Alligator mississippiensis: one gene and its partners. The protein of the gene in region 1 purifies or fractionates together with the protein of each later gene. This does not show direct contact. Links are inferred from orthologs where the notes say so. Each region holds a gene or a part of one and is shown in the gene's direction. Other genes may lie near its edges.

Region 1 (7,729 bases):
CATGTCACAATACTTTGTTTGTCACATTTTTCTTTACAATCTTCTCTGCTGTTTTTATGAAATGCCCACTGAAACAAAAGCAAGGCCCTGGCTGTTCCCAGCTTGTGTTCATAAATCCTATTAGTACAAGCACAAAGCTTGGTAGGAATGGAGTTCAGTTGATTGAGTGTAACAAAGCAGTAAACGATTATATAGTGTCCTGGCAGTTGTACCAAATGATGAGAAAACAAAAACATGTTTCACAGTTCTTTAATTTTGAATTGATTTTGGGATTTAAAAAAACAAACAGATAAACTATTTCCAGTTGTTTAGTTGGTGACATTTTCTGATAACTAGAATAAATTTGAAGGGGAAATATCCCTGCCAAGGCATTTGGGGTGTTGTATAGTGTTTAAAATGTCTTTACTCTTCTGTAGACAAGGTTCCTTGGGTGAATCTGATATCTTTTATTAGACCAACCCAAATAGTTGGAGAATAGTTATTAAGCAAGCTTTCAGGTTCAAAAACCCTTCTTCAGGCTAAGGAAGTTTCAGGAGCTGGTGTGTGCTCTTCCTGGATGGAATGAAAAGTATCTTCCTGGATACTAAAAATCACGGACTAAATACAGACATTGGATTTATGACACATTATAACCTGCCTGACATCTGACTCCCCAGGTATCTCTCCACTATTCATCCCCCTTCTCTTCCCGCCCCCCGCCTGTCTCTCACCCATTGACTCCTCAGTCTACATTTTCACTGACTACCCGTCTTGTATGCATACCAGCCCAGCCCCTGGCTTCTTTACTTTTCATTCCATCCAGAAAGAGCACACACCAACTGCTGAAGCTTCCTTAGCCTGACGAAGGGTTTTTGAACCCGAAAGCTTGCTTAATAACTATTCTCCAACTATTTGTGTTGGTCTAATAAAAGATATCAGATTCACCCAAGGAACCTTGTCTGCCTATGTCCTTCGACCAACACGGCTACAACCTACACCCTTTACTCTTCTGTAATATACTTAGTAAAACCCAGTCAGTTCTAAAAAAGATGAATTCAACCTTAGTATTTTTCAGATGCCAAAATGCTAGGATCTTTTACTTTTGTTTTGTTCACTGTTTATCCTTGTGCTCTACATTCTGGGAAAAGGAATAGTTCAAGAGCCAAATAGAAAATGATTAACTGATTATCTTGCAAGACTTCTACAAACAGAATAGTTGTGCCTGCATTGAAACTCACCCCCAAGATGGAAGAGTCCAGTTATGTTCTCACAAAACAAGAGATCTCAAGGGAAAACCCTGGTAGTTGATATCGAGTCTTTAATGACAATTAAGCTGGGCTGCTCAGCTGGAAGGCATCAGAAGCTATCCATCAGTGCTTTGGGCTCACTGCTGTCAAGAGTGCTGATCCTGCAGTGGTGTGGGGGAGGGGGCATGCACCCAGTGCAGCAGTGGAGGAGGATGCATGGGGACGAGGTATTGGAGCGCTATGCAGTAGCAGCATTGTTGATGTGGCCTCTAGTGCAGCCCACAGTGTTCAGGCCCCAGCTGCTGAAAGGATGGGCTGACCTGATCTACAGTTTCCAACACTGCAGCTCGCTGCATTTGTATTTTCCCGTAAGATCTACCATCCAGTATGATTCATCTTAACACTTAGGTTTGACAGTATAATTTGCAGGGCTCTGAACTATGCTGTTATTTCTTCATCTTCACAGAAAAAATGCGTTGTGTTTGATCTTTATATAATCTAAATTGTGTTGGACAAGGAAGCCCAGCTTACGTGTGTCTGTAGAGTAGTTGGCTTTTGATCTAGCAGAAAATAGATCCTTTTTTCTTGCAGTGAATTATGGTGATGATTAAATAAAGAGGCACAGAAATACGAACTAAAATTATTGTGCACTCCCCTCCCCGCAAAAGAAGCTAGCCAGTTGGTGGAGCGGGTAATAATGGAATTGGCAATAGCCTGTTGCCTATAATGGTATATCCCTTCAGTCTTCAGACAAAGCAGAAGAACATGATCCTTCGAGGTGTGAAACACCCAAACTCTGATCTTGAAAAATAGTTACATGCTTTGCTGAATTGTAGCCTTAATGCACATACTTAAAGTTCATCTGTTTTGAGCAAAGCACTTGAGTATGTGTTTTCATTTGAAGGCAGTGAAATGTACGTGTGTGTCTAAATGCTTTGTTCACTAGGGGTGAATAGCCTTTTGTTGGGTGGGCCAAAGTCATCAGCACCTTCCAGGATCAAATCTGTAATGCTTTAACTCTGGTTGCTGTCACTGGGAATGAATGGTAAAACATCAAAGGAGGGAAAGGACTTGACATTTTGAAGTTAGTGGAAGTTTTGAGCTAGATCCACAGAAGAACATTAAGTGCCCACATCCAAAGTTTAGATCGTCAAAACCTGCTCAACTATCACCTAGCCCTGGAGGCAGCTAAAATGTTTCCTAAGTACTCAGATATTTCAAGGGTGTTAGCACTGTTAGGTCTGCAAACACGATTCACAGCGTAAACTCAGAGATTTCAAACAGGAGTCCACGGTGCTAGAAGAATTCTGATCTGTTGCAGTCTTTCTGATTCCTCTGCAACAGAAGGATTGTCCAATTGTTTTTCCAAAGTAAAAATAAGTGAGTGAATACTAAGAGCTGGCCTTTTCTGAGGGGTGCCTTGAGTCTAAAAAGGTTAAGAATCAACTGTACTACCCACTGGAAGAAGCAGTGCTAGATGTGACAGAATCCAAGTCATTTTGTGACTCTAAACCCTTGTCTATAGTTTGGGCTCTAAGTCTTTCCAGATCCAGCCCTAATCAGCAACAAACAAAGGTCATTAGCATCTAAAAGTTGGTTGCTGTATGAAAGAGCTGTATGATTGCTCAGGGCTCCAGACTTGGGCCTGCACGTAAGATGGCTGCCAATGGATTTGGAAGCATCTGAAGCCCCCGGATGAGGTGGAGGATACTTGCTGGTAGCAGGGCTACATATGGTTCTTGCACGATTCAAATGAATTTGGATCTGATCTGGGTAATTTGACTTGGGACGTGAAAAATTTCCTTAAAAAAAGACTTCTCTTTGCAAACAATTAGCTCTGTACCTTTCACACAAGCACTAGGTTAACATTAAATGTTTTTAATGGTTCTCTAACCTACCATCTAATGTTTCTCTCGCATAGTCTCTCTAGCATACTCCAATATCCCTATGGATTTCAAAACAATAATGCCCAAAGTGTCCTGATCTTTACAAACATGGTTGTTTCTTTTTTAAAGATCCTATTCCCCATGATTTATGACCTAAAATACACTATTCACCTTATCAGTCAAGGTCTGAGATTTCTTAGTATGGAGAAACCTGGGAAAGGATGTTGGCGTAGCCCTCCCTGGGGTGAAGGGTTACAGTGAATCGAGGCCTGAAAGCTCTGTGCCCTTGTAACAAGGCCATGTGTCACTGGAGGGGGGAGGGAAGCAACAGGTGCCTCAGGTTAGTTCTGGGTCCCTGGTGTAAAAAAGTGCTAGTGGATGAGTGGCCACATGCATCAGTGACATGCGGCTAGCCCTGGGCCAGTCTGCTAAAGTGGTGTTGCAGCAGCATTGCCAGGTCTTAAATATGAAATTATCATATTGGAAGCTCAGAATTATTGCATTTATTGAGAAACTATAATTCACTGAAAAAATGTGCAAATGAATATGCAGGTAAGTCTTATTTACTTTATATTGCTCACAGTATGTCACCAGTGAGTGAGAATTGTGTCAAAGTTGAAGCATCTCTATTTTGAGATGTCATAGCAAGTGCTGACAGCAACCCTAGAGGCCTCTTGAAGGCTTAGATCAAGTGTAGTGGCTTAACCTGGCAGGGAAAATACCATGCATCTGTGTCCATGAAGGCATTTTCCTGAACTGCTACACAAGAGAACTGCCCTTCTGGCGTGGTTGCAGTGGCTTTAAGCCCAGTTTATGGAAATAGGAGTCTCCTCCCTTGCTTGCTGGGGGGGCCTTATGGCTGACAGCAAGTGAAACTTGGGGGCATCTGAACCCCAAGCCTCTGGGCTTGGGCTGGCAAGTAGGATGCCCTCCAAAGGTTTTGGAAACATCTGAAGCCCCAGGTGCGGGTGGAGGATGTTTGCCCGTAGGGGGGCGATTTCTGATTCTGGACTGACTCAGATTTGGAATTGATTTGGCTTGGAACATGAAACATTGTCTCCCCCCCAAAAAAAGACACGGACATACAGTTTTTGAATGATTTAAAGGCTTCAGAACTGATCTGGCTAATTAGACCTGGACCATGAACCTCCCCCCCCCCAAAAAACAAACACCAAACCGCTAGAAGCCAGTTAAAAGTTCCTGGTTTTGCATATGCTACATTAATTAGCCGCCTCAAGCATTATCCTACGGGGTAGTGGTAGAAGGGGTGAAGTTATGGTACAAATGCAGTAATTCTCCTACACCGGCAACACCGCGTCTCCGGCCCTAAGAGGGAGCCTCGCAGGGCCGGGGCAAGCAAAGAGCAAGCCCGCACCGCTGCGCGCTCCAGAGCCGGGACTCAAACGCCGAGGCCTCGCGCGGCTAGTGACTCAGGTGCCTGGGGGCAGAGCCCCGGCACTACGCAGCCGCCATGGGTGGGGCTACGGCGCCGCTCTAGCAGGACCCGCTCACTCCTAGGGCGCGCTTGATCCTCGGCGGCTTCCGTCGCCCCCAGTCACGGCCGGCGCCCGGCCAGCCCCGCCCCCCGTCCCTCATTGGCGGATTCAAGAGTCGCGGGCTCCTTGAACGCGGCGGCGGAGCGGGAGGCGGCCGGGTACGCTCCGGACGAGGCCGCACGGCGCCCCTTGCGCCCCCCACCTGCGGCAGGATGTTGGACGAGCTGGACCCGGAGCAGGAGCAGGAGAACGTGCCCCCCGTGGGCAAGGCGCTGCCGCCCGCCGTGCCCCGCAGCCGCACGGTGCTGGGGGTGCTGCGCGAGAACCGCCCGCGCCCGCAGGCAAGGGGGGCGCCACGGGGCGGGGGGGCCGCGGGGGGGCGGTGGTGACGGCCCGCCGGCGCTAACGTGCGTTGCCCCCCGCAGGCGGTCGCGGCGGCGGCGGCGGGCCCGTCGCGCAAGGGCGATGGCGGGGCCCGGGCGGTCCGCGCGCCGCAGCCCTTCGCCGTGCACGTGGACGAGCCGGACGGGGGGCGGCGCGGCCGGGTGGGGGCCGCCAAGCGCGCCGGGCCCGCACTGCCCGTCGCGGGGCTCCCCACCGACAGGAAGCCGCTGGTGCCGCTCGACACCGCCATGGACCTCAGCTGCGGTGAGTGCGGGGCGGGGCCGGCCCGGGCGGCACCTCCTCCTCTCCCCCCCCCAAGCAGGTGCTGGGGGCGGGGGGAGCTGTTCTGCCCCCGAGGGAAGGGGACCTGACTTGTGGAAATCTGGCTCTGGCTGGCGCCCCCTATCGCCCCCCCCCCCCCAGGCGCAGGTCAGATTAGGGGGTGCCCACCCAGGACGGGAGGGGGCAGGAACTGCATTTGCTCCAGCCCAGACTTGTAGCCCCCTGCTTTGGGCAGGACTGTCCCTCTCTCCACGGTCCTAGGACGGCATCTGGGGAAGCAAACTCGGGTTCACAAAAGCTTGTGCTCTGGCTTGCTCACATCCTCCTGCTTGCACTCCTGTTCTCGCTCTCAGGCTGTGCAGGTGCAGGTCGGCCCTGACTTCAGGCTACCATGGCTAAACCCCCTCAAACCATCCTTGACAAAGATTAGGATCTTGGGGCTCTTCTACATGTGTTGGGGGAGCTGCACTTTGTGGCTCTGAGAGCTGCTCTAACTAAAGCACCACAAACTTTCATGTATCGGTGTCCCTGCACTTAAAAATGGCAGCAGGAGCACTTGAATTTAAAGCACTTTTAAGTGCAGGGACACTGATGTACAAGATGCAGGAGGCTGCTAGAGCACAGCTGTTGCTGTATTCCAGCAGACTCTATTAATTGAGTCGGTTCCAGCACATCGGAGCAGCCTCTACACTTGTGTAGGTGCCTACAGGGAACTAGGGCTAGAAGGAGCTTCACCACGTCCTTTGGTCCAGTCCTTTGCTCCAAGCAGGACCATCCCTCTGAAGCACCCTACGACAGCATTTGATGACATGAACTTGGGTTCACAAAAGCTTGCTTTCACTTTCTCTTTTCCCTGCTTCCTTTCCCCTGCCCCCTAAAAATCTTATTTGGCGTATAAGGCGAGGTACAGACACTGCACATAAACTGGTACAAATGATCAGAAAACGGTGTAAAGCTGTAATAGAAGTTTAGCATGTGCAAACCGGTTTCAAACTGGGGGGGACTTGGTCTAAGATAGATCTGGATAGATGCTGTATTAGATTTAATCAGTTTAGGATAGAGCAGGATTTCGAACTTCTGTCCCAGATCCTGCAGCAAATTGTCTGCTTTGGCTGTCCTCCATGGGTGAGCACTATTCTACAACCTAAATATCCTCTTTTTAACTGATATTCCAAGTGTCCCTAAAGTCATTGTTCTTCATTGGTGTCTTATGAAAAGCTAACTTATGAAAATGTTGCTTGTGCATCTGCATGCGACTCAGACCAGCTTTGGGGATTCCCTGAGTCCAGCAGTTCCTTTAGCCTGTAACTTACAAGCTTTGAATCCCTGAAACAGCCAGATATCCCTTCCCTGTGCCTTACCCATCTGCTTTCCCATGAATTTCCTCACTCTTCTTGCTACTGTTACTTATGAGCTGCTGGCCCTCTTGAACTCTCAGCCTTGTCAGGGTCTGGCTGTAGCAGCTCAGAGCTTCAAACTCTGAAAGGCTTTAAAGACCTAGTGCAAGTTGCAAAAACTAGAATACACACTGGAAACTTCCATTTGTGCAAGTACTAAATGGTTCTGGCAAGTTGACTAGAAAACTAGGGTAGCTCAGGTAGACACTAAAATAACATAAGGCAAGAGAAGTCCAACAGTCTGCCCAATTAAAAAATTCTGGCAGAAGACTTCTCAGTTGCCTAATTTTGTGGCTTCAGCTAAAATACATGCTAACATCAGGCTGTCCCCTGACTTGCAGGCTCCACTTCAGAGTACAGGTCCATACTCCTATGAAGATAGCTTACTATGCTAGTATGAAGCGTCTTCCACCAATTTTTCTTTCTCCCACCCCATAGATGAAAAAGCCCTTTGCAACAAAGCCCATAGTTGAAAAAGCCCTTTGCAACATTTCTCTGTTCTTAGTGCAGCCTAGGTGGCTCAAAAAAGGCAAAATGCCAAAAACAAAAAAAACCCTAGGTCCTGGGTCACCAACATAATCGTTCTGCTCAATGCAGTCACTGTACCATGCGGTCTGAGAACTTCTGTAGGTTTAATGTGACTACTGTCTTGCACTTAGATTCTCCAAGTATTATGGATATATCTATAATCCAAGATGTGGAAGAAAGAGTAAATGTTAATCATGTGCCAGACTACATTGATGATATCCATAAATACATTAGGGAAATGGAGGTAAGATGCCATGATTTTGTTTAAACTTTTAAGGCAGCTTAGCTCAGGATGGTGAGGCTTGTGGGTCTAGTCCCTGGAGGGGTGGCAGCTCAAGTAGGAGCTTATAATTGGAGAACAGACTGAGGGGAAAGGGGAAGAAAAGTGAGCTTCCTGTTGAGCCCTTCTAGAATAAAAAAACCTGGCTGGAATATGCACTGAACATAAAAGAAAGGGCTTGAGAATGGACTCTGAAGGACCTTGGGCACCAGTATTTGGATTCTACTTTACGTATAGTACAAGTATTTAA
Region 2 (6,902 bases), on another chromosome or scaffold:
GGACAAGGCTCCTTGGCCACCTGGGTCCCCATCTCCGCCCAGATGCCCAGGTTCCATGCCCAGTGGGTGGAGCCCCCAGGGAGCGGGGGAGCCCGGACACTTGGGTTCTATCCGCTGCCCCCCACCCCTCCCCCTTGTGTCCCCATCAGGTGGTTCAGGACAGGCAACGTTCAGGGCACAGCCTGCCGGGTTGGAGGGTAAGGGCTGGGGAGGGGCCACCCGGATGCCTGGGTCTCCTGCCCCCTGTGGGATGGGCAGGCACTTGAACATCAGTGGCTCCTGATTCCCCCCACCCTGCCCCGGGATGCCTGGGTCCCATATCCCCACTGATCCCTTCTCTCTCCCCACTGCAGCCAATGGCAACGGACTGGGATACCTGAATGGGGGAGATCTCCAGGCCAATGGAATGGCTCCAGGCAAGACCTGCCCTGGGTGCCCCCAGGGTGCTGGGAGATGGGAGCAGGGCCAGGAGGACTTGGCAATGGGGAAACCATAGAGATGGAGGAAAGAGAAACCAGAGTGGGCAAAGTGCCAACAGGGCTGGGCAGAGCTATGAAGCCCCCCGGTGGCGGAGGGTGGGGCTGCGCCCACCCCTGGAGCAGCCAGATCGACCTGGCCTCCTGCCCCATAGTGCCTTCCAGCCTGTGCTTCTGCTTCACACTGCCCTCCAGCCTGTGCTTGTGCCCCATAAAATGCCCCCCCACCTATGCTTCTGCCCCACACTGCCCTCCAGCCTGTGCTACTGGCCCTCAACCTTTGCTTTTGCCCCATAAAATGTCCCCCCATCCTGTGCTTCTGCCCCACAGCAACCCTCTCCCTTGCCCTTTCAGGTGCCTACGGACCCATCTCCGTGGGGCCGGCCCTTGGTGGGTATGGCCCGGTGCCTGCTGCCCTCGCCCCAGGGGCATATGGTAGGCGGGGGTGCTGTGTCCCTTGGTGGGTGTGGCTAGGGCCCGCTACTGCCACAGGAGACGGACGATTCTCCCCTCCCCACTTCCCCAGGGCAAGACGGGGGGGTGACGGGAGCTTTCCCTCTCATAGGTGGGAAGGAGTTCAAGTATGGCCTAAACGGCTTCCTGGGCAATGGCTACCGAGGTGAGGAGCAGGGCCCCCATCCTGTCGGACCCCAGACTAAGATTGGGGGGTGCTGGGTGCTGTATGGACCCCCCTAGACTCTATCACACTGGCCTCTGTGTGTCCCAGATGCCTGTGTGTGTGCGTGCGCGTGTGTGTGCACGTGTAGGTGTTTCCCAGATACCTGGGTCCACTTTGGATCCACATATCCCAGATGCCTGGGTTTTGAGTGTGTGTGTGTATGTGTGTGTGTGTGTAAGCATACATACACGTATTTATCCTGAATACCAGGGAGGGTGTGTTCCAGATGCCTGGGTCCTAAGGGTATGTGTATGTGTCCTGGACACCTAGGTCTTGCGTGTGTGTATGTGCATGTATATCTTGGATGCCTGGGTCCTGTGTGCGTGTCCCAGCTCCTGTGTGTGACTGTGCATATTTTTGTGTGTCCTAGATACCTAGGTTGTGTGTGTGTTTCTGTGTGTTCTGGATACCTACATCCTCTGTGCGTGTGTGTGTGTGTGTGTATGTAACCTTACCTCCTATCCAGCGCTGATCCCTGCTCTCTCTCCGCTCAGCCCGCTGCCCAGCTGGGAAGTGTTGAGTCCTGGGTGCCAGTTGTTTGCCGCAGGGGGACCCACCTTGCCACATCTGGTGCTACGTGTGGTGCTACGAGGGAAAGAAATTATCCCGCTATAACTTATCGTCTCGTTGGGATTTTTTAATGGATTCTTACATGTTAAAAACCTGCAATTTTGGGGGGTTTGTCATCCTAGGCTTGTCACCCCCCCCTCCGCCCTCTGGGGAAAAAGGGGTGTCCACAAGGGAGTAGGAAGTGTGTTGCGGGTACCTGTATCTGCCCCCTCTCTGCTGACAGCAGGAGGTGAGTGTGTCGGCAATAAAAAGCCCCTCAAAGAGCTTGTGTCTTGAAAGATTTGTTTCCAGATGTGCGGGGTAGGGGGGTGTCCTGGGCATCTGAGTTGTGTGTGAAAATGTGTGTGTGACACCTGGGTTCTGTGTGTATGTCCTGGACACCTAGGCTGTGTGGGTGAGAATGTGTGTGCGCATCAGACCGCTGGGGGGGTGCAGACGTCAGACACCTGAGAGGGGGGAATGTGTGTGTACATATTAGACACATGGTGGGGTGCGCATCAGACACTCGGGGGGGGGGTGTGCATCAGACACCTGGGTTGTGCGTGCATATATCAGACTCTTGCAGGGGGGGTGTTTGTGTCAGACACCTGGGTTGTGCGTGTGTGTGTGTCAGATGCCTGGGGGGGGGGGTGCCGGACACCTGGGTGCTGTGTGTGAATATGCGTGTCCCCCCTGGATACCTAGGTTGTATGTGTGAGAATGTGTATTTGTGTGCACTTGAGTTATGGGGGGGGTGGGGGTGGAAGACACCTGGTATCTGTGTATGTGTGTGTCCCGGACATCGGAGGGGGGGGGTGTCCAACAATTGGGTTCTGTATGTGTGTATATCTGAGACACCTGGGATGTATGTGTGTGTGTGTGCATTTGTGCGTGTCCCAGACATGGGGTGTATGTGCGTCCACACCTTGGTTGTGTATGCATATTTGTGTGTGTGTCTAGCAACTAGGTTGTGTGTGTGTATGTGTTCGTCCCAGACACCTGTATGTATATCCTAGACACTTGCATTCTGTGTGTGTGTGTGTGTGTGTGTGTTCCTTGGACACCTAGGGTCTGTGTGTCTGACACTTGGGTGTTGTGTGTGTGTCATGTGCCCAGACTGCTGGGTTGGGGGGGGGGGGATGGTTGAGCACTGCTGCCCCCTGCTGGAGGAGACTGAGGCAAGCGTGTTTGGTGTTCTACACGCTTGGGTTGTGCATATTGGGGGGGGGGTGTCCTGGACACCTGTGTGCATGTGTGTCCATCCAACAACAGGGTTGTGTGTGTGTGTGGGTGGGTGGGAAGGGCGGGTTGTTTCCAGACACCTGGGTTCTGTGTGTGTGTGTGTGTGTGTGTGTGTGTGTGTGCGCGCGCACATGTGCACATCATACACTATGGAGGCTCTCCTTCACACTTCGCGGTCCACCTCCCACTGCCCAGACCCCGCCCCGCCCCCCCGGGCTAAGATGGGCAGCCCCTCGCATCTGGACCCCACTGAATTACCCTGAGACCGAGATTGGGGCCGCGCCAGGCCCTGTACGTCCAGCGCTGTCTGCACCTCTCGGCGATGGGCAGTGTCCCTCGTGCCCCCCTCTGGGGGTGATGCATCGGGGGTGAACTCAGTTCAGGGCACCCTTGGGGGGGGCGGTGGAGGGGCTGGGGGTAACTCACGGCTGCCCCTTATATAAAGGGTGAAGGGGGCACCCCAAAAGCAAGGGTTGTGGGGCCCTGGCCCCTCCCTAGGGAGTAGAAGGGCTGCCTTCGGGGGCCTCACCCCTCGTTTTGGCGGGGTGAAGGGGGCATCCCTGGGGGGCTGACTTCATTGGGCGGCATTTCTGAGGGGATTTGGGGGTAAAGGGATGTGTCTGAGGGGATTTGGGGGGCATGTCTGAGGGGATTTGGCAGGGTAGAGGGGCATTTCCGAGGCGGGGGGGGGGGCGCTTTGGTTTGGCCACGCTTTGGTTGCCCCAGAGGATGCTGGGAACCCTCGCGGCCCCCTTCCATCCCTTTAAAGCGGGGAGTTGGCTCTGATTGACAGCCGCCCGGGCGAGCGGGGCGGGGCACGAGGCGCCCCCTGATTGGCTAATCCTGAGGCGCGCAGTCGGGGGGCGGTGCCGGGGGAGGCAGCCAGGTGGGGCGATGTGGGCGGTGCCTGGGCTCGGATTGGCTGAGGGGGCGCGGGCGGGGCGGCAGTTGGAGGCAAGGCGGGAAAGGACGGGGGAGCCCGCGCGCGGGAACGGGTGAGGGGGAGGGGGGCGTGCTGCCCTCCCGCGCGGGGGACCCGCCACATCCGGGCCCTGGAGGTGAGCCCCGCCCCGCCCCGCCCCGCCCCTGCCCCCCCAGCCCCTCATGCCACGGGGCTGCCTCTCTTCCTCTCCCGCCAGCGCCCTCCTGCTCATGCCAAGGAGTGCAGCCCCAGCCTGCCCCTCACCCCTAGTGCAGGGGCCCAGGCTCCCCAGTCACGTGGGCGCCCGGAGTAGGCCATGCGCCTGCTCGTGCGGAGGGGAGCAGGTGCGGGCGCGGGGCGCTAACCATGTTGCTAACCATGTCTCCTCTTTCTTGCCCCGGCCAGCGCTGACGCCATGCCGGTGCCCCCGGACGAGGCGGGCCCCGAGCCCCGGCTGAGCCGCACGCCCCTGCCCGTGCCGGCCTTCTTCCGCGAGGCCGAGGGCAGCTTCTCAGCCAAGAGGCCCCAGCGGGCGTCGGGCTACTCCCTCCCGTCCCGGCCGCGCCACAAAGTGCCCCCGACCGTGAGCCGCGTCTTCCCCGGCTGCCAGCCCCAGCCCTGGAGCCAGCCGCGGGCCCGCCTCGTGTGGTGCCGGGGGGCCCCCGGGCAGGCCGCGCCCCCCGCGGACCTGCTGTACGACCCCGCCAAGCGGGAGTCTTTCTTGCGCCAGTGCTTCCAGGTGCTGGGCCACCTAGGCCGCGGCTCCTTTGGCGAGGTCTACAAGGTAGGGGGGCGGGGGGAGGAGCGCTGGGGCGTGGCGGGACGTGTGGGCTGGCCGGGGCAGGAGCGCAGGGGTCCGGGTGCCCAGGCTGCCCCTCGCTTTCCCCCAGGTGCGGAGCCGAGCGGACGGGCGCTTGTACGCGGTGAAGCGGTCGGTGGAGCCCTTCCGGGGGGCGGCCGACCGGCACCGCAAACTGGCGGAGGCGCGGCGGCACGGGCGCGTGGGGCGCCACCCCAACTGCCTGGGCCTGGCGCGGGCCTGGGAGGAGCGGGGCCAGCTCTACCTGCAGACGGAGCTGTGCCCGGGCAGCCTGCTGCAGCACTGCGAGGCCCGCGGGCAGCCCCCGCCTGAGCGCCGCGTCCGCGCCTGGCTCTGGGACCTGCTGCGGGCGCTGCAGCACGTGCGTGTCTGTGGCCTGGTCCACTTGGACGTCAAGCCGGCCAACGTCTTCCTCACGGCCCGCGGCGTGTGCAAGCTGGGCGACTTTGGCCTGGCCCTCGAGCTGGGCCAGGCCGAGCCGGGCGAAGCGCAGGAGGGCGACCCTCGCTACATGGCGCCCGAGCTGCTGTGTGGGGATTACAGCCCTGCCGCCGACGTCTTCAGGTTAGGGCCCCGGCGTCCCGGTGCCCGACTTCCCCCTGCCCCCGCTCCCACCCCACCCTCTTCTGACTGACCAGGCACGCTCCCATTGGGTGTTGTGGGCTGCAGCCACCTGGGCGGGGCAGTTGCCTGGGGTGGGAGGGGTCAGTTGCCCATCTTGCCTCCCCCACTCGTGACTCTTGCCCCCTACCGCCAGCCTGGGCATGACCATCCTGGAGGTCGCCTGCAACCTGGAGCTGCCCACAGGGGGTGAGGCCTGGCAGCAGCTGCGGCAGGGATACTTGCCCCCTGAGTTCACAGCTGGTACGTCTGGGGAAGGGCCTGGATGCCGGGGCTCCACCCCAGCTCCGGGGGGACGGGGAGCAAGGGGAGCTGGAAGCCAGGATCCTGGGGTTCTCTGGGTAAGGGCTGGGGTCTGGGGAGGGTTGGAGTGGGTAAGTCTGGGAGCTGGGGATGCCTGTGTTTGTGGGGGGCAGAGGGGAGTATGGTGAGTTGGAGGTCCAGGTGGGTAGTGTGGCCTGGTGGGGAGAAGCAGGGGGTGCTGGGAGCCCGGATGCCTGGGTCCTCCCCTGGTCCAAGGGTGCCTGGGGCCGGGACACCGCAGAGGTCTTCCTTATCATCTCCTCTTCCCCCCCACCCCCACCCAGGCCTGTCACTGGAGCTGCAGGCCCTGTTGGCTGCCATGCTGGAGCCTGACCCCCGGCTCCGCCCTTCAGCGGAGACCCTTCTGGAGTCTGACCTCATGCGCTGCACAGGCCGCTGGCGCCGCCTCGCTCTGCTGGCTGAAGCTGGGCTGGAGTGGGGCGCTGTGCTGCTCCAGGTCAGTGCCCCCCTGCTTCTTGCCTCCTGTGCTCTTTGCCTCCTGCCCCACTTAATCTCCCCCCTTCTCCCTGCCCACCCACAGGGGCTGATGAGCTTGCTGTGGGGGGTCTGCCTGGCACTGTGCAGTCTCGCCCACTGGCGCCAGGGCCCCCCGACCACCCCGCCCCGCTCCCCGCTGCTCCCTGCCTACGGCAGCTTCTCCAGCGACTGGGAGGAGGACGAGGACGATGAAGGTGGGACGGGCAGCCTGGCCCTGGAGGTGTTCCAGTTGTCGGGGAGCTCCAGGGATAGCTCCCTCCAGGACAGGTGAGTGGTGGGGGGCCATGCCTGGGTCCCTACCTGCCCCCAGCCCCTTTCACTCTGCCTGGGAGCCTGGGCGCCTGGGTTCTCTGGGAAGAGAGTGGGAGGGAGCTGGGAGCGCACGTGCCTGGAGTCTTTGAGAGTTGAGTGGAGGCAACTGGGGAAGGGAGTTGGGGCTTGTGGGGGAACTGGGGGGGGGGATGGAAGCCCGGACACCTGGGTTCTTTGGGAGAGGAGCAGCATCTAGCGGGGTAGAGCAGTGGGACTGGATGCCTGAGTTCTCTGGCATGCGAGAGGGGGCTGGCAGATTGGAGCACCAGGGGCTGGAAGCCCAGGCACCTGGGTTCTTGGTGGGGTGGGGGGGGAGGAGTGGCACCTGCTGGGGTAGACCTGGAGGGGCTGAGAGCCTGGATGCCTGGGTTCTGTCCCAACTCTGGGAGGGGAGTGGGGTGCGATGGGGTAGAGCTGGGAGCCCGGACACCTGGGTCCTCCCCCCCGTCTCTGAAACCTCTCTGCTTCTCCCCTTCCTCT
Region 3 (7,277 bases), about 75 Mb from region 1:
AGAATTTTCCCCTGCCTACCACTAATATGCACTTCTAATAGAGCCTCTGTTAAAGCTGCATATTGTACTCTGGGGCAAGCTGTATGCAAAATATGGTAAATGTCACTAATGGAGTAAAAGTAGATTAACTTATGAATTACGAAACTAATTTAAATATCGCATGTACTTAATCTTTTTTGTTTTTCTTTTTCATTTAGCTTTTTTGTGACCACACTTTTGAATGGTAGCTTCAGTTAATTGTGTTTCTGTGTGCATTTACCCTATTGTACAATTTACTATACTCTGACAATGTATTTGTGATTTGATTTTGCAGAGCTGAAGGAAAGCAAAGGCAAATGAAAAACAAGAAGCTAAAAATGGGTACCATTAAAAAACCATCTGTGAAGCAGAGGAAAATGAGAGTCTTGAAAGGAAAAATAAAAAACAAGAAAGAGTGAATCACTCTTTCTTCTTGGCATCTAGTTACTCAAGATTTTTGCAGCCAGTCTTTGATTTCATTTACAGCAAATGTTAGTATGATCTTTCAGAATAAAATCTAGTTGAATTGGAAATTATTTCCCCTTATATAATTACCTTTAGAGTTTCAATGGCACTGGGACAAAAGCTTGTTACTCTGTTCATGAACTATTTCAAATGAGAGAGAAAATAACTTATATATGTCAGCCCATACTGCGCAAAACTTATAAGTGGAAATAATATTATAAAATACCACTAAAATAAAGGGACAGAAGTTATAGTAGTTTTGGTTAGTTTGGTATTGCCCACTGTTTAGGGGGAAAAAAGACCAATATATTTGTAATGCTGTCTGTTACAAACATCGTTCCACTTCACCCCCACATGCTCACTCTTAAAACCCACCATCCAGCATGGTCATGTAGATAACAAATGTTATATAATCCTTTTGCTAGTTATCCACTTGTTTGCTGGTTTTGTCTCTGCAGGCCTGGAAACGAGTATGTTGGAAGTTCCAGATAAATTAGGACTTAAGTATATGTTTATATCCATAGTGGCTACATTTAGAAAGATAATAGGAACACAGGACATTCCTGCCCAGATTTTATAATACTTTATTATAAGCTGAACCAAATGTCTTTATTTATTTTCATTTATGAAGATAATTTTAATAACTAAACTTTAACTTGTAATCTTTTCACTGGCTAGTGGTGATGGAGGCTGAGCTTCAAGGCCAGCTTGCCCAAATTATTCTTGATGTTGTCCTAAATGTGTGAATGTCATGTAAAAACAAAATGAAAACAAACTAAATAATAAATAAAATGCAATGACAAGAATGTATTTTATAACTATAGGTTTTTTAATTCAAACCAAACATGTTACAGTACTTAGCTACAACAAACTCCTACCTGCCAAGCCACAGTACACAGCCTTTCAGAGAAATACTTAATTTTTTTAAGGAATGTACCAAGAGCAGTTCCTCTACTAATTTTCAGACCTAGGTCATCTTGCTGTTTCTTGGATACTGTGATTGAAACATATATGAAATGAATAGAGAAAAAATAGTCATAACTAAGATGACTCTTTAAGACTCAGTGAATTTCATGTCAACTGTGTTCTATTTATAATTTTAAAAGATGATGTAGTGCAATTGCTGCAGATTCATTGGAGGGGTGTTTTTCTCTTTTGTATATCTTCACCAGCATTAAAGGTATTTTACTATTATTGGTATTAATAATAATTCAGTTAGTCATGAATAAGTGAAACATCCATTTTATTACTTCAGACCTGTATTGGCTCTTTAGGACTGAAACGTTAGGAAGACCTGGTAGATAACTGTGTACTCTATTTTATGTTTCCATGTCATATTTTCTTAGTTTCGGGTGCCCAGCCACCTTCCCCCAGTACCACCAGGTACACCCCCTCCCATCCCCCTCCACACCACACATCCCTGCCCCTCCAACCCCCACTACCCGTAGACTTACCTGCATCCAGCTGCCATCACTGTGCCGACCACCCTGTCTGGCTCTATGCTGGCCACACATGGCTCTATGCTGTGTGCATGTGTCTCCAGTCATTCCAAGCAGGTCCTTGTAGGCTGGATGGCTGCTAGCCTGCAAGGGGAAAAGCCTAGGTTTCTCTAAAAAGGAAAATCCAGGTTTTTCCACAGCACATGGAAAACCTGGATCTCTAGTAAACAAATGCTACAAGGGCAAGCTGGGAAATGCAGTTCTACCAGCACTGATGTTGAAAAAGGACTAGCAGAGCACAATCCCAGACATTTGTTCATATTTGAAAAAAACGCCTGAGCGGAGATCGAAGGATCCAAAAAGAAGACGTCCAGGAAAACCCGAATATGTGGACTCTCCCACCCCCTGCCACTGTATTGTCTACACCCCCACTGTCTCCCCTGTTGCCTGACCCCTACAAGTCCTGCTACCATTGCTTTTCATGTTGCAGTGGTGGGGATGAATTTAAGATGATCCTCCAATAATTATATTTTATACAGGGAAAATTATAACCCATTTATACGTTTTCTGTGTATAGAACCTAAATTGGGGGGGAGGGGGAGTCACCTCAAATTCAATGTGAACTTGAATTTGGGTAAATGCCACATGCCTTCATCCTATTCTCTTCCCAGTAGTGAAAAGAGGTTCCAACTTTTTGCTGCTTTAGACAAAGGTAAATACATACTCAAAAAACAGGAATTGCACCAGAAGGGACTGTAGACCACGCTGAGGACAATTTGTCATCCTAATCAATACATGCAACAGCATAGTTTGGTGTCTGCACTGAGCCAGTGCCGCATGTGATCTTACTACTACAAAATGCTGGAAGATCAAAAAATACAATATCAATTTTTGTAAAACATTTTACACAAGACTTGAACCATCCAAAGTTGTGCATGTGTCTGTGTCTGAATGTGCACATATGTCTCTCAGATAAGGTTCTTTGGGTTAATACATCTTTTATTAGATGAACTCAATCAGAAAAATTGTTCTTTGCAAGCTTTTGGGCACAAACACCCTTCTTTGGGTATAGAGAGAGTCTGCTGGTGTTTTGTGTCCAGGGTAGAACAGAAGCCAATATGCAAAATTGAGGTCAGTGAAAATGCAAACGTGTTAGTGAGGATCCAAGGTGATAGGAGACGATAGGTGTCGGACAGGTAGGTGGTGGGGAGGGGAAGAGGGAAATGTTGACTGCTGCTAGTAAAATGTAGAGAGGTTATGAGATGGCAGGTAGGTTATAATGTGCCATCAATCCAATGTCTGTATTTAGTCCAGGGTTCAATCCAACCAGGAATAGCACACACCAACTGCAGAGGCTTCCTCAGCCTGATGAAGGGTTTTTAAACCCAAAAGTTTGCTAAAAAATTTGTCCCAACTATTTAAGTTGGTCTAATAAAAGATACACCCAAAGAACCTTGTCTGCCTATATTTAGTCCATTATTTTTTCTATCCAGTCATTCATGAAGTTCACTGGCTCCTCTGCCAAAGGTGCTTTGTAAATTCCCTTTGAGGACTAGAAGTGAGAGATTGGAGAGGGAGCAGGTGTCTTGCGAGATGTGCGCACCCACAGGTCCTTGGGTATTTTTGTCTTTGACAGATTTCCGCTGTGTTTCATTCTGGAGCTCAGTTGTTTGGTTGCTCCTGCATATTGTCTGTCCGGCCTTCAGCGCACTGGGTGAGGTGTTACATTTCTGGAGGCGTAGGCGTTAAGTTTTGCAACTGTCTGTGTATAAGTGTATGGGGACTTAGTGGGAGAGGCGATCTCTTTTATTAGACCAACTAGATTTTTGCAAAAAAGCCCCACCAAAATCTTTCATTGCAAACTTTTGGGCACAAACACCCTTCTTCAGGCATAGGAGAAAAGACTGTACAAGTTCTCCTGGGGAGAAACGAAAGTTGGTATTCCATAGGAGAGTTGAAGGTGTGCAACAGGGTTTGGTTGCAGCGCTGTCGGGCTCAGGACAGGGCAGACGAGGTTCTTGGGGTGAATGTGATATCTTTTATTAGACCAGCTTCAAGAGTTAGGGAAAAATTTTGTTTAGCAAGCGTCCGGGTTTTGCTCAGATGAACTGCTGCTGTTTGCAACGGTTCATTTTATGTGCAGGGCCCTGGAGCGAGCAGCCAGGTCCCGCAGCCGGCCGGGGCCCGGGAGCGGCTTTCCCAGGCGGCTCCCGCGTCGCCGAGCAGGCAGAGCCCGGAGCCAGCTCCGCCCGCTGGAAGCGGAGCCCCGGGGACACGCGCTCGGGGCGGGGCCGGGAAGCACCGCCTCTGGGGGCGGGGGCGGTGCGGGGCGCGGGGCGGAGCGGAGCGGAGCGGAGGGGAGCAGGCGGGCAGGCCGCCATCATGCCCGCCTTCCGTCAGGTGGGCGAGAAGCAGCTGCCGCAGGAGGTGGCGCTCATGGCCTGGTCCCCCAAGCGGGACCTCATCGCGCTCGCCAACCGCGCCGGGGAGGTAAGCACGGCCACAAGCCCCCTCCCTGCCCTGGCGCCTGGTCCTCACCCGGCTCCAGCCCAGCACAGCCTCAGCTCGCGGGCTGCGGCCTCTGTCGCCACGGGCCGGGCCGGGCCGTGCTCTGCTCAGCCGCGGACTGCAGCCGGGGAGGGGCGAGGAGGCTGCGCGTGAGGGAAGCGGCTGCAGGGGGAAGTGGCGGGTGCAGGGCGGGCAGCTCCGACCCTGGGCCACAGCAGCCGCCTGCCCCGCCACTACCCGTGTTAAATGTTGGGGAGGGGGTCATCTTCGTCTGCAGGCAGTACAGCGCGTGGGGCCACGGTGTCGGCTGACAGGAGAGCGTCTCTTCAGGTTCACCTTCCTGGACCTGCTAGGGACTAGTGCTGCCCAGCAGGGTGTCCAACTTGGCCTGTGATTTCACCCATGTGTCAAAGTTCATCTCCACGTGAAGTTTTGAGACAAGAAATACAAAAAACTTGAGCTCTTGGTTCCAAAATGATACCTTTCATTAGACCAACTGGGCGCTGAAAGCAAACAGTGCTGTGGCGGCACTGGAGCCAGCGGTCCCCAGGCTCTGACGGGTTGCGCACCACCAATTTAAAACGATACAATCTTAAGTACCACCGGCAAGTTTTTGTCATATAAAGGAATTATAATAAACCTGTTAATGCGTACCACTGACACATTGTCTGCGTACTGCTGGTGGTACCCGTACCACAGATTGGGAACCATTGTTTTAACTTAATTTTCTAGATGATCATAGAAAAATAGAGGGACCTCAGTAGACCATGCAGTTCAACCTGTTGCTCAGGGCAGGATAGTGCCAGGCAAATGTTTGTCAGCCTGAAGTGAAAAGGCCTCCACTGCAGAGATCTAGCCTCTCTGTGATTGTTCCAATGCCTACCCATTTTCATGGTTATAAAGTTTTCCCTTGAATTCAACTTACATTTTCTTGGTTTCAGTTTAAGCTCATTGCTTCCTGTCCTGTGATATATAGACACCGGGGAGTAATTGTCATTCCCTAATTGACTTACATACAGCTCTCCTTTTAATACAACCCATTACTGCAGGGAGAGGGGGTTGCAGCAGTAACACTGTTGACTCGAACTTCTGATCCAGGCTGAAGTACTTCAGGAAAGGCCGTGACTCCCTGTGTTGTATTTGTGCACTTGACTCTCCCAACCTACATTTAGTTCTTTGTACTTGTTCTCACTGAATTTGTTCCAGTTTATTTCAGGACTTTTGTTCCAACTGAGCAAGGCTATTTTGAATCTTAATTCTGTCCTTCAAAGTGCTTAAGTCCCACCCAGCTTGGTGGCATCTGTAACTGTACAAATGTACATTCAGTCCTGCCCTCTGTGTCATTAATAAAGAGACTGAACAGTACTGGACCCAGGACAGACCCTTGGGAAACACCACTTGATTCCTTTTTCAATTTTGGTTTAGAACCACTGATTATTGTTCTTCATAGATTTCATAGACATTAGGGCTGGAAGGGACCTTGGGAGATCATCAAGTCCAGTCCTGTGTCCCGGGGCAGGAAGTCAGCTCGGGTCAAAAAAACCCAGCAAGATAAATGTCCAAATGTCTCTTAAAGGAGTCCAGAGTAGGTGCTTGCACCACCTCTAGTGGCAGCCTGCTCCAGGCCTTGCGGGTCTCGGGCAGTAAAGAAGTTCTTCCTTATGTCCAGCCTGAAGTGGTCTTGGAGGAGTTTGTGACGGTTTGACCTTGTCATCCCTTGGGGCACTCTGGTGAACAGGCATTCCCCCAGATCTTGAGCCTGCGCTTTTCCAGGTTGAAGAGTCCCATGGTTCACAGCCTCTCTTCATAAGGCCTGTTCTCTTGCCCTCTAATCATGTGTGTGGCTCTCCTCCGGACTCTCTAGCTTTTCCACATCCTTTTAATACTGTGGAGCCCAGAATTGGATGCAATATTCCAGCAAGTACTTCTTAATCATGATTATCTAACCAGTTATACATCCATCTTGTATTTAGTTTACGTATGAGCTTGTTGTGGATGATGGTGTCCAGCACCTTATTAACACTGAGCTTTATCAAACCCTCTGCTGCCCCCACCCCCCTTTCCCCTGTCTACAGGTCCCATCACTTTATTAAGGAATTATTTTCTGTGAACAGATCTATGGTGGCTATTACTTATCTTGTTATCCCCCAGGTAATTACAAATTAATTATTTGAAGATAACCTCCAGTATCATAAAATTTAGATTGACTGGTCTGTAGTTCCCAGAATTTCTTTCACTTTTTTAAAAGATAGGCACCATATTTTTCCGTTTTTGGGGGGGCTCACTTGATTGTCATGAATTCTGAAAGACGACAGTTACTTCACCCATTTCCTTAAATGCTTTAGGAGGGATGTCATCAGGCCTAATAGCTTATCTAACTTGTCATTTTAGCTGCTTCTTCCCCATCTCCTTTCATCTCCACTTACCCTTGCTCCTCCACTTTCTAAGCTAATCATGTAATCATCTGACAGTTGACCTCTGTGATTATATTCTTGGGCATCCAAGGATAGGATGTTCAACTGTAATGTTTCCATACTACAGTTTCTATCTAAGTTGGAATGGAAGCTCTCATTTTGATTACAGTCTTCAAGACTACATACACAGCACAGTTTACTTTCATTGCTTCATAGTAAAGAGTATGCTCTCAAACTATGGAAAATAACTGGACTTTTGATAGGAACACTCAGGATACAGTGTGCCTACTGGATACAGGATTTGTTTTAGCCCAATAGAAAGTGATTCTTTAGTTGCTGGATTACAAGATTCAGTTAAAGGAAAAATGTGCTTTCTTTGACTAAATTTAAGCTTTTTTTTTTCAGGTTTTACTTCACCGACTAGCAAATTTTC
Region 4 (6,730 bases), on another chromosome or scaffold:
TCATGTCCTGGGGAGGTGCCGGAGCAGCAATGCTCAGCCCCAAGTGACACAGTACAGGATGAGGAGCACAGTGGCCAAGTCATGCCCCAGAGCTGTTCACAGCACTGCAGAGACCTTGTGCGCCCCCTGAACCAGGGTGCTGGGGCACCGCCAACCACACAACAGCCCCAAAGAAGCAGGCAGAGGCTCGGATCCGGCGGAGAGGAGAGGAGAGGAGGGACCGGCGGGGACGTGGAAAGGAGCCCGGCTGGTTGCAGACCCACTCGCCTCACCAGAGAGAAAGGAGAGGAGTGAGAGAAGGCAGGCAACCCGTCACCAAAGCCAGGCACCCTCCACCGCAGCCCAGCCTGGCCGTCCTTACCACGTACTCCATCTCAGCTGCTGGGCTGGGCCCCACACAGGCTACAGGTACCAACAGCCCCTGTCCTCCTGGCGTCCCACCTGCATTCGGTGACAAACAGGGAATTAGCCAGCGCCGCCCTGTCCAAGGGGCCTGGCAGGCCTGGCACATCCCCTCTGCCCTTCTGCTCGCCTGGAGAAGGCCCTGCCTGACCTGCTTCCGCAGGCATTGCTCCTGCTGCCTGGCCAGGCCTGCCCTGCCTGGCCTCGGGTGACATGGCTGTCCTCTGCGACACAGGGGGAGCAGGGACCTCATTCAGATCCTGTGTGGGCAGGAGGCTGTGATGCATGAGGCCCGGGGCAGGTTGCACATGGGATAAGTCTCGGGATCTCCAGTGTGCCTTGAACGCCGTCCTGTGAGCCTGGCCCCATTGCTGGGAGTCACCAGGGTAGCAGCAGCCCTGCCTCCCCTGTCTGGTGCTCCAGCCCCGATGGCCTGGGGACTCCTTCCTGGTTCCTCAGGGCACGTGCCCAGCTCAGAAGCCAAGCTCAAGAGATGAGCTTTCAGTCCCCGGTGACCTCCTGGACTGTGGGGACCAGGACCTCCCAGGGCCCACCATCGCCCATCCTCCGGTGCCTCCCCAGGGAAGGCAGGAGCAGTGGTGGCTGAACCCCAAGACCCTGCTCCGTGAGTGGGATTCAGGGCAGCACCTGGAGTTGTGAGCTTGGGAGCCCCCACAGCCCCATGGACACTTGCCACCCCTCTGTTGCCAAAGCAGCATTCGAGGTCCTAACTCTGCTCAGGGCCAGGGCAGCTCCAGCAGCAAGGAGCTTGCCAGCTGGAGCCGGGGGCTGGCTGGACCCAGGGGAGGGAGGCCACGCAGGGGACAGCCACAGCTGTGTGGAACAAGGGCGGAGACAGCTCCTGCCCAAAGAACAAAGCAAGAGGAAGGGGCCCAGCTCCTTGCAGCCCCCCCGCCCTGCTCCCATCCCCTCTCCGGAGCCATCAGGCTTGGCACGGAGAACAACGCCAGCCCAGAGCGGGAAACAAACATGATTTACTTCCTCGTAGGACTGTGCCCTTATCTGGGGCCTGCAAAGCTGGAGTGACGTGATTCACCCAGAGGCAAGAGATAAAGAGCCTGTCTGGCCCTGGCCCCACAGACCTGCACAGGCAGGGCCTGGCCAGGCCCCATGGCAGCAAAGGAGCTGTGATAACATGACCTTTCCCTGCCCAGGCAGTAATCATGACAGGCTGGGCAAGCAGAACAACACCCTATCTCCTGGGCTGCCACCGAGACCAGTGCCCACACCCCACCGTGAAGACACCCCAAAACACAGACAGGCTCGTGCCCATGCCAGCTCCAGCTGGGCACCAGGGCCCTGAGCTAAGCGTGATGCCCGGTGGAGGTGGGAGCTGCTGTGCTCCTCACAGTGGTTGCATCACAAACCACCTGTGTGGCATGGGCACTGCAGCAGCCCTGACATGATCCCCTGCATGGCAGCCCCAGGTGCATACCATTCAGAGCACCTGGGAATCCCAGCCCCCCAAGGCCACCTGAGGAGCATAACAAATCCAAGGAGAAAGGCAGCGCTCGCTGTGCTCAGCCCAGCAGCCCAGCCCATTAGTGAGCTGTGGCAGCGTGGGGCCTGCGCGGGCAGAAGGGCTTGAGGGGTAGCCCGCAGGACCCTAGCACGTGCTGCGATCCACCTCCCCTGCCTCCCCACGGGCCCCTTGGTGCCTGGGCGTGGTTCCCGCTTGCTCTGCCAACTGCAGACCCTGCTGGGCATGGATGGCACCACCAGACTGCAGCAATGGCTGCCAGGTCAGGCAGAGTCGGCCAAGCAGTGTGGCTGGGGCTCACGCATCTGTTCCCCACAAGCCTGCGACGAGACCTGATGACCCCGGTCGCAAGCAGAGGACAGATTTGGGCTGGGCAGCCAGCAGGCAGCCCCCGCCCTGCAGCCATGCATCACAGATGCCTGCAGCTTCTCCATGGCAGCCTTGGGCCACAGCAGCCATGGTTATGCTATGCACTACCTCCTTGGCTGCATGCAGCTCCCCAGGCTAACAGCAGCCTCCTGAGCCCCTTCAAGCTGCCCAGAGCAATCCCAGAACCCCCACGCAGCTCGCTGCAGGGGCTGAGGCACCCCGAGCTTGGTGCTGCACTATCAGAGCCTTTCCTCCCTGCACATCCTGCCACCGCACCCCAGGGAGACTCTTAAAATACATGCGAGAGGAGGCTCCACAAAGCAAGCAGCTGGGTGCTAAATGCCCCTAGCAACGGTGCCCGCACCGTGGTGACTCATGACATGCGTGCCTGCCACAAGCGCTGGTGCCGAAGCTGCTGGTTATGCAGCACTGGGCTGAAGACAACCACAAGAGGCAGGAAGCTCCCAGGCAGGGCCACGGGCAGGGGCTGCGTGGGAAAGGGGCCCCACACCCACAGCCGGGCCTGAACATGGACTGGCTGCTACATCCCGCAGGAGGGGTAGCACATGCCCAAGGCGCACCACAGCTCCCCGACGCATAGGAGGTGGGAGCCGTGCATCTCCGGGTCACGCTCAGTGCCTCCCTGCCAGCCCAGCAGAACCGAGCACCTCCCATGCAGGTCTGGCAGCTCCCTGCCCGTGGAGGTGACGACCAGCATGTCTACTACAGGCACGAGAAGAGACCTTTATTATTTCCTGCTCCAGGTTCCTGTACCTTAAGCCCCAGAGGCAACAACAGCCAACTCAGCTGCTGACTGATGCAGGCAAGAGATGCCCCATGTTGCTGCAGCCTTTAGTCACAGCCCCCCACAGGCTTGCTCACGCCGCAGCCTGACAGAGATCTCTGGTACCCTGGCCCCCAGCATCGCACTGACAGAACCACGAGCAACTCAGGGACAAATGTGTCCTTCCTGGGCCACGGGCTGGAGACACCTGGGTCCCACACAACTCAGGGAGCAGCTACGGCCTAGGTGTGATTTGGTAGGACCGCTCACCCCCATGGAGGTGCAAGAACCTGCAGCACTGGGGCGAGAGCAAGCCCCCCCCAGCACTGCCCAGACCCCCTCCAGCTGGGGGGGGGGGCTGCTCCCCCAACCTGCCCCAGTGCTAAGGGGACAGCGGGAGGGAGCGGATGCGGCGCCTGCCAGAGCAGGCAGGAGAGCGCCTGGGGCTGGGGGAGGAGGCTGCTGGGAAACAACAGGAAATGGAGTCGCACCAGGAATGCTCCCAGCCGGGGGAGGGGGGGGGGGAGGTGAAGGCGCAGCCCAGGCCACCCCGGTCCTGCTTCCTGTCCCGCTGGAAAGGAGCTGGGGAAACTGCCAGAGGAAGCCGTGATCGGGACGAAGCCCGGCCAGGGAGGGAGGGAAGGACACCCCCACTGTCCCCGGCCTCCTCGCATCACCGATTACTCGGATGGGACTGTTTGACCACCCTTGTCCCTCCTGCACACACTCCCACTTGGGACCCCCGGGGCCAGAGCTGTCCTCGCGCCCGCTCACGGCCCCACACCTGGCTCAGCGGCACCAGCAGCTGGGAGGCGCTGGCCCTGCCTCCCCTTCCCGCCTGCCCCATGGCACCCGCCTGCGCCACCCGGGACGTCTCAGCACTGGACATGGATGGGCAGCCCTGAGCACTGTGCACCAGCTCCTGGTGTCTCCGTCTGTCCAGGGATGCCGGGAGCAGGCCTGGGGGGCGGTCGTGGGGGGGCAGGAAATTGGGGCATCCGGGCGAGTCCAAGGGCAAGCAAGCGCACGCAGGGGGAGAGGGGGCGGCCGAGGGAGACAGAGGGGCCCGGATGGGGCTGGCGGAGGAGCAGGTCTGAGCAGAAACGGGCCCGCGGGGAGGGGGCCAAGAGCCCACACGTGATGTGGGGGCAGGATGGGGGCATGGACAGGATACGGCCGGTAAGGGGGTCAGGGGACAGGGTCGGGGCCGGCCCGGGGTCGCGGAGAGGGAAGGGAGACCCCGGGGGAACCCGGCAGGATCCGGCCCGGGGGGGTGGTCATGGTAGGATTGAGCCCCAGGAGGTCTCAGCAGGAACGGGCCTGGGGGGATCTCGGGGGGCCCGGCAGGACGCGGGGCCCGGGCGGCGGCACTCACCGGGGCACCATGGGGCCTCGCGCCCGCTGCGCTCCCACGGCTCCGGCACCCACTTGCCCGGGCCCCGCCACCCACTTCCGGCCCCACTCCCGCAGCGCGGCCTCAACGACCCCGTCACGTGACGAGGGAGCCCCCACGGGCCACGGCCACCTGGACCAATGAGCGCCCTTGCAGGGGTGCCCGCCCCCCGTGCGCGGCGCTGGCCACTGAGCGAACCGAGGAAGTGAAGCCGGACCAATCACCTCCCGAGGAGCCCCGGGGGAGCGGGGCTTGCTCTGCTCGCGCCGCCCGGGCCAATGGGCGCGCGGGGCGGCGGCGTTTGAAAGCGGCGGTTGGGGGCGGGGCCCGCCTGCAACTGCCGGGCGCGCGAGGGCTGTCGGGAAGGGGGTGGACCCGCAGGCCAGCATGGCGCACAAGCAGATCTACTACTCGGATAAGTACGACGACGAGGAGTTCGAGTACCGGTGAGAGTGGGCGGCCGTCCCCTTCCCCCGCCGGGGTCTGCGCCCGTTGCCGGCGCGCGGGGATGACGCCATCACCCCCTTTCCTGGGCTCGCCGACCCCGTGACACCACCACCCCCTCTCCTGGGCTCTATCCCCCACCCCTATTCGGTGCCGGCGCGTGGTGATGGCGCCATCATTCCCTTTCCTGGTGTCTTTGATCCCTGCTCGGTGCCGGCGCATAGTGATGACGCCAACTGCTCCCCCCCTCCCGTGGTCTGCGACCCCTGCAAAGTTCTGGTGCGCGGTGATGACGCCTTCGGCCCCTCTCTTGGGGTCCGGGCCAGGTGCGGGCACGCCGTGATGACGCTGTGGCTCCCGTTGCAGGCACGTGATGCTGCCCAAGGACATCGCGAAGCTGGTGCCCCGGACGCACCTGATGTCGGAGTCAGAGTGGCGCAACCTGGGTGTGCAGCAGAGCCAGGGCTGGGTGCACTACATGATCCACGAGCCTGGTGAGCCACTGGGGTGGGCTGGGCCAGGTGCTCCATGTCCATTCGCCTGGCTCTGCCCATGGCTGGGCTCAGGCGTCTCCTCCCTGGGCAGGTGGGCAGATGCTGGGCAGCAAGAGGCTGCCCCGTGTGGTCTGCGAGTCATTTCCGCGCGGTCCTGATGCTGCTTCTCCCCGCAGAGCCGCATATCCTGCTGTTCCGCCGCCCGCTGCCGAAGAAGCCGGAGAAGTGATGCCTCTGCCCCAGTGCGCTGCCTCTCCCTTTGCCACGGCTCTTGCTGGAAAGCACCTTCCCTGCTCCTCTTCCCTGTCCTCAGTGTTTGGAGACATTGCTCAGAAACGCTGTCTGAGGCTGGTGTCCGCAGCCGAGGAAGTGCCAGCCTGACTGGCCTGACTAGCAGGGCTGGTGGAGGAGGACTTGGCTCCATGACACCTACGATTCCTGCCTGCCGAGGGGTGCAACTGTAGAGGACACCTGGTGACGGTGGGGGGGCACAGCTCTGCGCTGCTACCCCGGGCTCTGACTCAGGCTGGGGGTGCACCATGCCTGCTGTCAGCACAGACATGGCACTGCCACCCCTACCCCTGCCACCCTGGACCCTATCTTCAGCCAGGAGTGCAACCACTTGCCTATCATCAGTGCAGAGAGCTGGGGGGGGGGGAAATACGGCCTCTTGCCCCCTGCGGGCGTAGTGCTACCTCCAGCCAGGCTGGGAGCTGAACAGGACAAGCAGCCCAGTGCAGTGTCCCTGCCTGCCCCGTGGTGCCAGCGCAGGATCTGTGGTCACCCCGGCCGGAGCCCATCTCCAATAAAGCAGGTTGGATGTGGCAGTCTCGTCTGTGGGTTCCGTGGGCACGCCCCCCACCCGTGTCCAGCGTGGAGTAGGAGGCGCCGGGACCCTGCGGAAACCCTGTACCGGGGCGCTCTCCACGCCGGGCCGATCTATTCCTCCGGGGCGGGGGGGTGATTTCCCAGTTCGCTGGTTCAGCCTTCCGGGAGCGCAGTTCTCCGAGCGCGCCTTTGGCCAATCGAGGCCCTCCCCGTCCTCGAGTGGCATCTTCGTTGGCCAATAGCAGGGGAGGGGGCGGGGCGGCCTACGCCGGGGGCGGGGACGGGGGAGGTCCGGGGCGCAAGGCCGGACCGGACTGCTGGGATCTTTCTCGGCTCGGGGGAGGGCGGCTCTTGGGGCCCGGACGCTTGGTGCTCTCCTCGCTGCCCCCTCGAGGTGACCCCGCTAACTGGCTCCCGCCCGCGCCCGGCTAGGTGCCGGCGGCTGCTCGGGGCCGCGTCCATGCGCTGGGGCCTGCGCGTGGGCCGGGGCCTCCTGCACGCCGCGCGGGGCGGGT

What was found.
Region 2: the proteins of CCNA2 (region 1) and PKMYT1 purify together in Homo sapiens (affinity purification with mass spectrometry; 3 studies listed by BioGRID and IntAct, counting the BioPlex papers as one, with this or other methods). This does not show direct contact. The link is inferred for Alligator mississippiensis from reciprocal best matches to the Homo sapiens genes CCNA2 and PKMYT1.
Region 3: the proteins of CCNA2 (region 1) and ANAPC4 purify together in Homo sapiens (affinity purification with western blotting; 3 studies listed by BioGRID). This does not show direct contact. The link is inferred for Alligator mississippiensis from reciprocal best matches to the Homo sapiens genes CCNA2 and ANAPC4.
Region 4: the proteins of CCNA2 (region 1) and CKS1B purify together in Homo sapiens (affinity purification with western blotting; 7 studies listed by BioGRID and IntAct, counting the BioPlex papers as one, with this or other methods). This does not show direct contact. The link is inferred for Alligator mississippiensis from reciprocal best matches to the Homo sapiens genes CCNA2 and CKS1B.

Annotation. Positions count from the first base shown.
Region 1 is NC_081825.1:114,577,784-114,585,512, reverse strand, and holds the start of CCNA2 (cyclin-A2), read left to right. Parts: upstream 1-4,725; 5' UTR 4,726-4,820; coding exon 4,821-4,949; intron 4,950-5,033; coding exon 5,034-5,256; intron 5,257-7,330; coding exon 7,331-7,443; intron 7,444-7,729. UniProt on the Homo sapiens protein: Cyclin which controls both the G1/S and the G2/M transition phases of the cell cycle. Functions through the formation of specific serine/threonine protein kinase holoenzyme complexes with the cyclin-dependent protein kinases CDK1 or CDK2.
Region 2 is NC_081830.1:725,384-732,285, forward strand, and holds the start of PKMYT1 (membrane-associated tyrosine- and threonine-specific cdc2-inhibitory kinase), read left to right. Parts: upstream 1-3,899; 5' UTR 3,900-4,004; intron 4,005-4,039; exon of another isoform or gene 4,040-4,273; 5' UTR 4,274-4,283; coding exon 4,284-4,652; intron 4,653-4,758; coding exon 4,759-5,252; intron 5,253-5,445; coding exon 5,446-5,552; intron 5,553-5,896; coding exon 5,897-6,069; intron 6,070-6,153; coding exon 6,154-6,377; intron 6,378-6,902. Other genes in the region: GREP1 (glycine-rich extracellular protein 1), read left to right, coding at 150-197, 354-416, 831-911, 1,003-1,095, 1,650-1,675. UniProt on the Homo sapiens protein: Acts as a negative regulator of entry into mitosis (G2 to M transition) by phosphorylation of the CDK1 kinase specifically when CDK1 is complexed to cyclins. Mediates phosphorylation of CDK1 predominantly on 'Thr-14'. Also involved in Golgi fragmentation.
Region 3 is NC_081825.1:39,477,508-39,484,784, forward strand, and holds the start of ANAPC4 (anaphase-promoting complex subunit 4), read left to right. Parts: upstream 1-4,268; 5' UTR 4,269-4,304; coding exon 4,305-4,412; intron 4,413-7,249; coding exon 7,250-7,277. Other genes in the region: rRNA N6-adenosine-methyltransferase ZCCHC4, read left to right, coding at 314-437. UniProt on the Homo sapiens protein: Component of the anaphase promoting complex/cyclosome (APC/C), a cell cycle-regulated E3 ubiquitin ligase that controls progression through mitosis and the G1 phase of the cell cycle.
Region 4 is NC_081838.1:12,770,996-12,777,725, reverse strand, and holds CKS1B (cyclin-dependent kinases regulatory subunit 1), read left to right. Parts: upstream 1-4,629; 5' UTR 4,630-4,836; coding exon 4,837-4,895; intron 4,896-5,259; coding exon 5,260-5,387; intron 5,388-5,563; coding exon 5,564-5,616; 3' UTR 5,617-6,211; downstream 6,212-6,730. Other genes in the region: FLAD1 (FAD synthase), read left to right, coding at 6,676-6,730.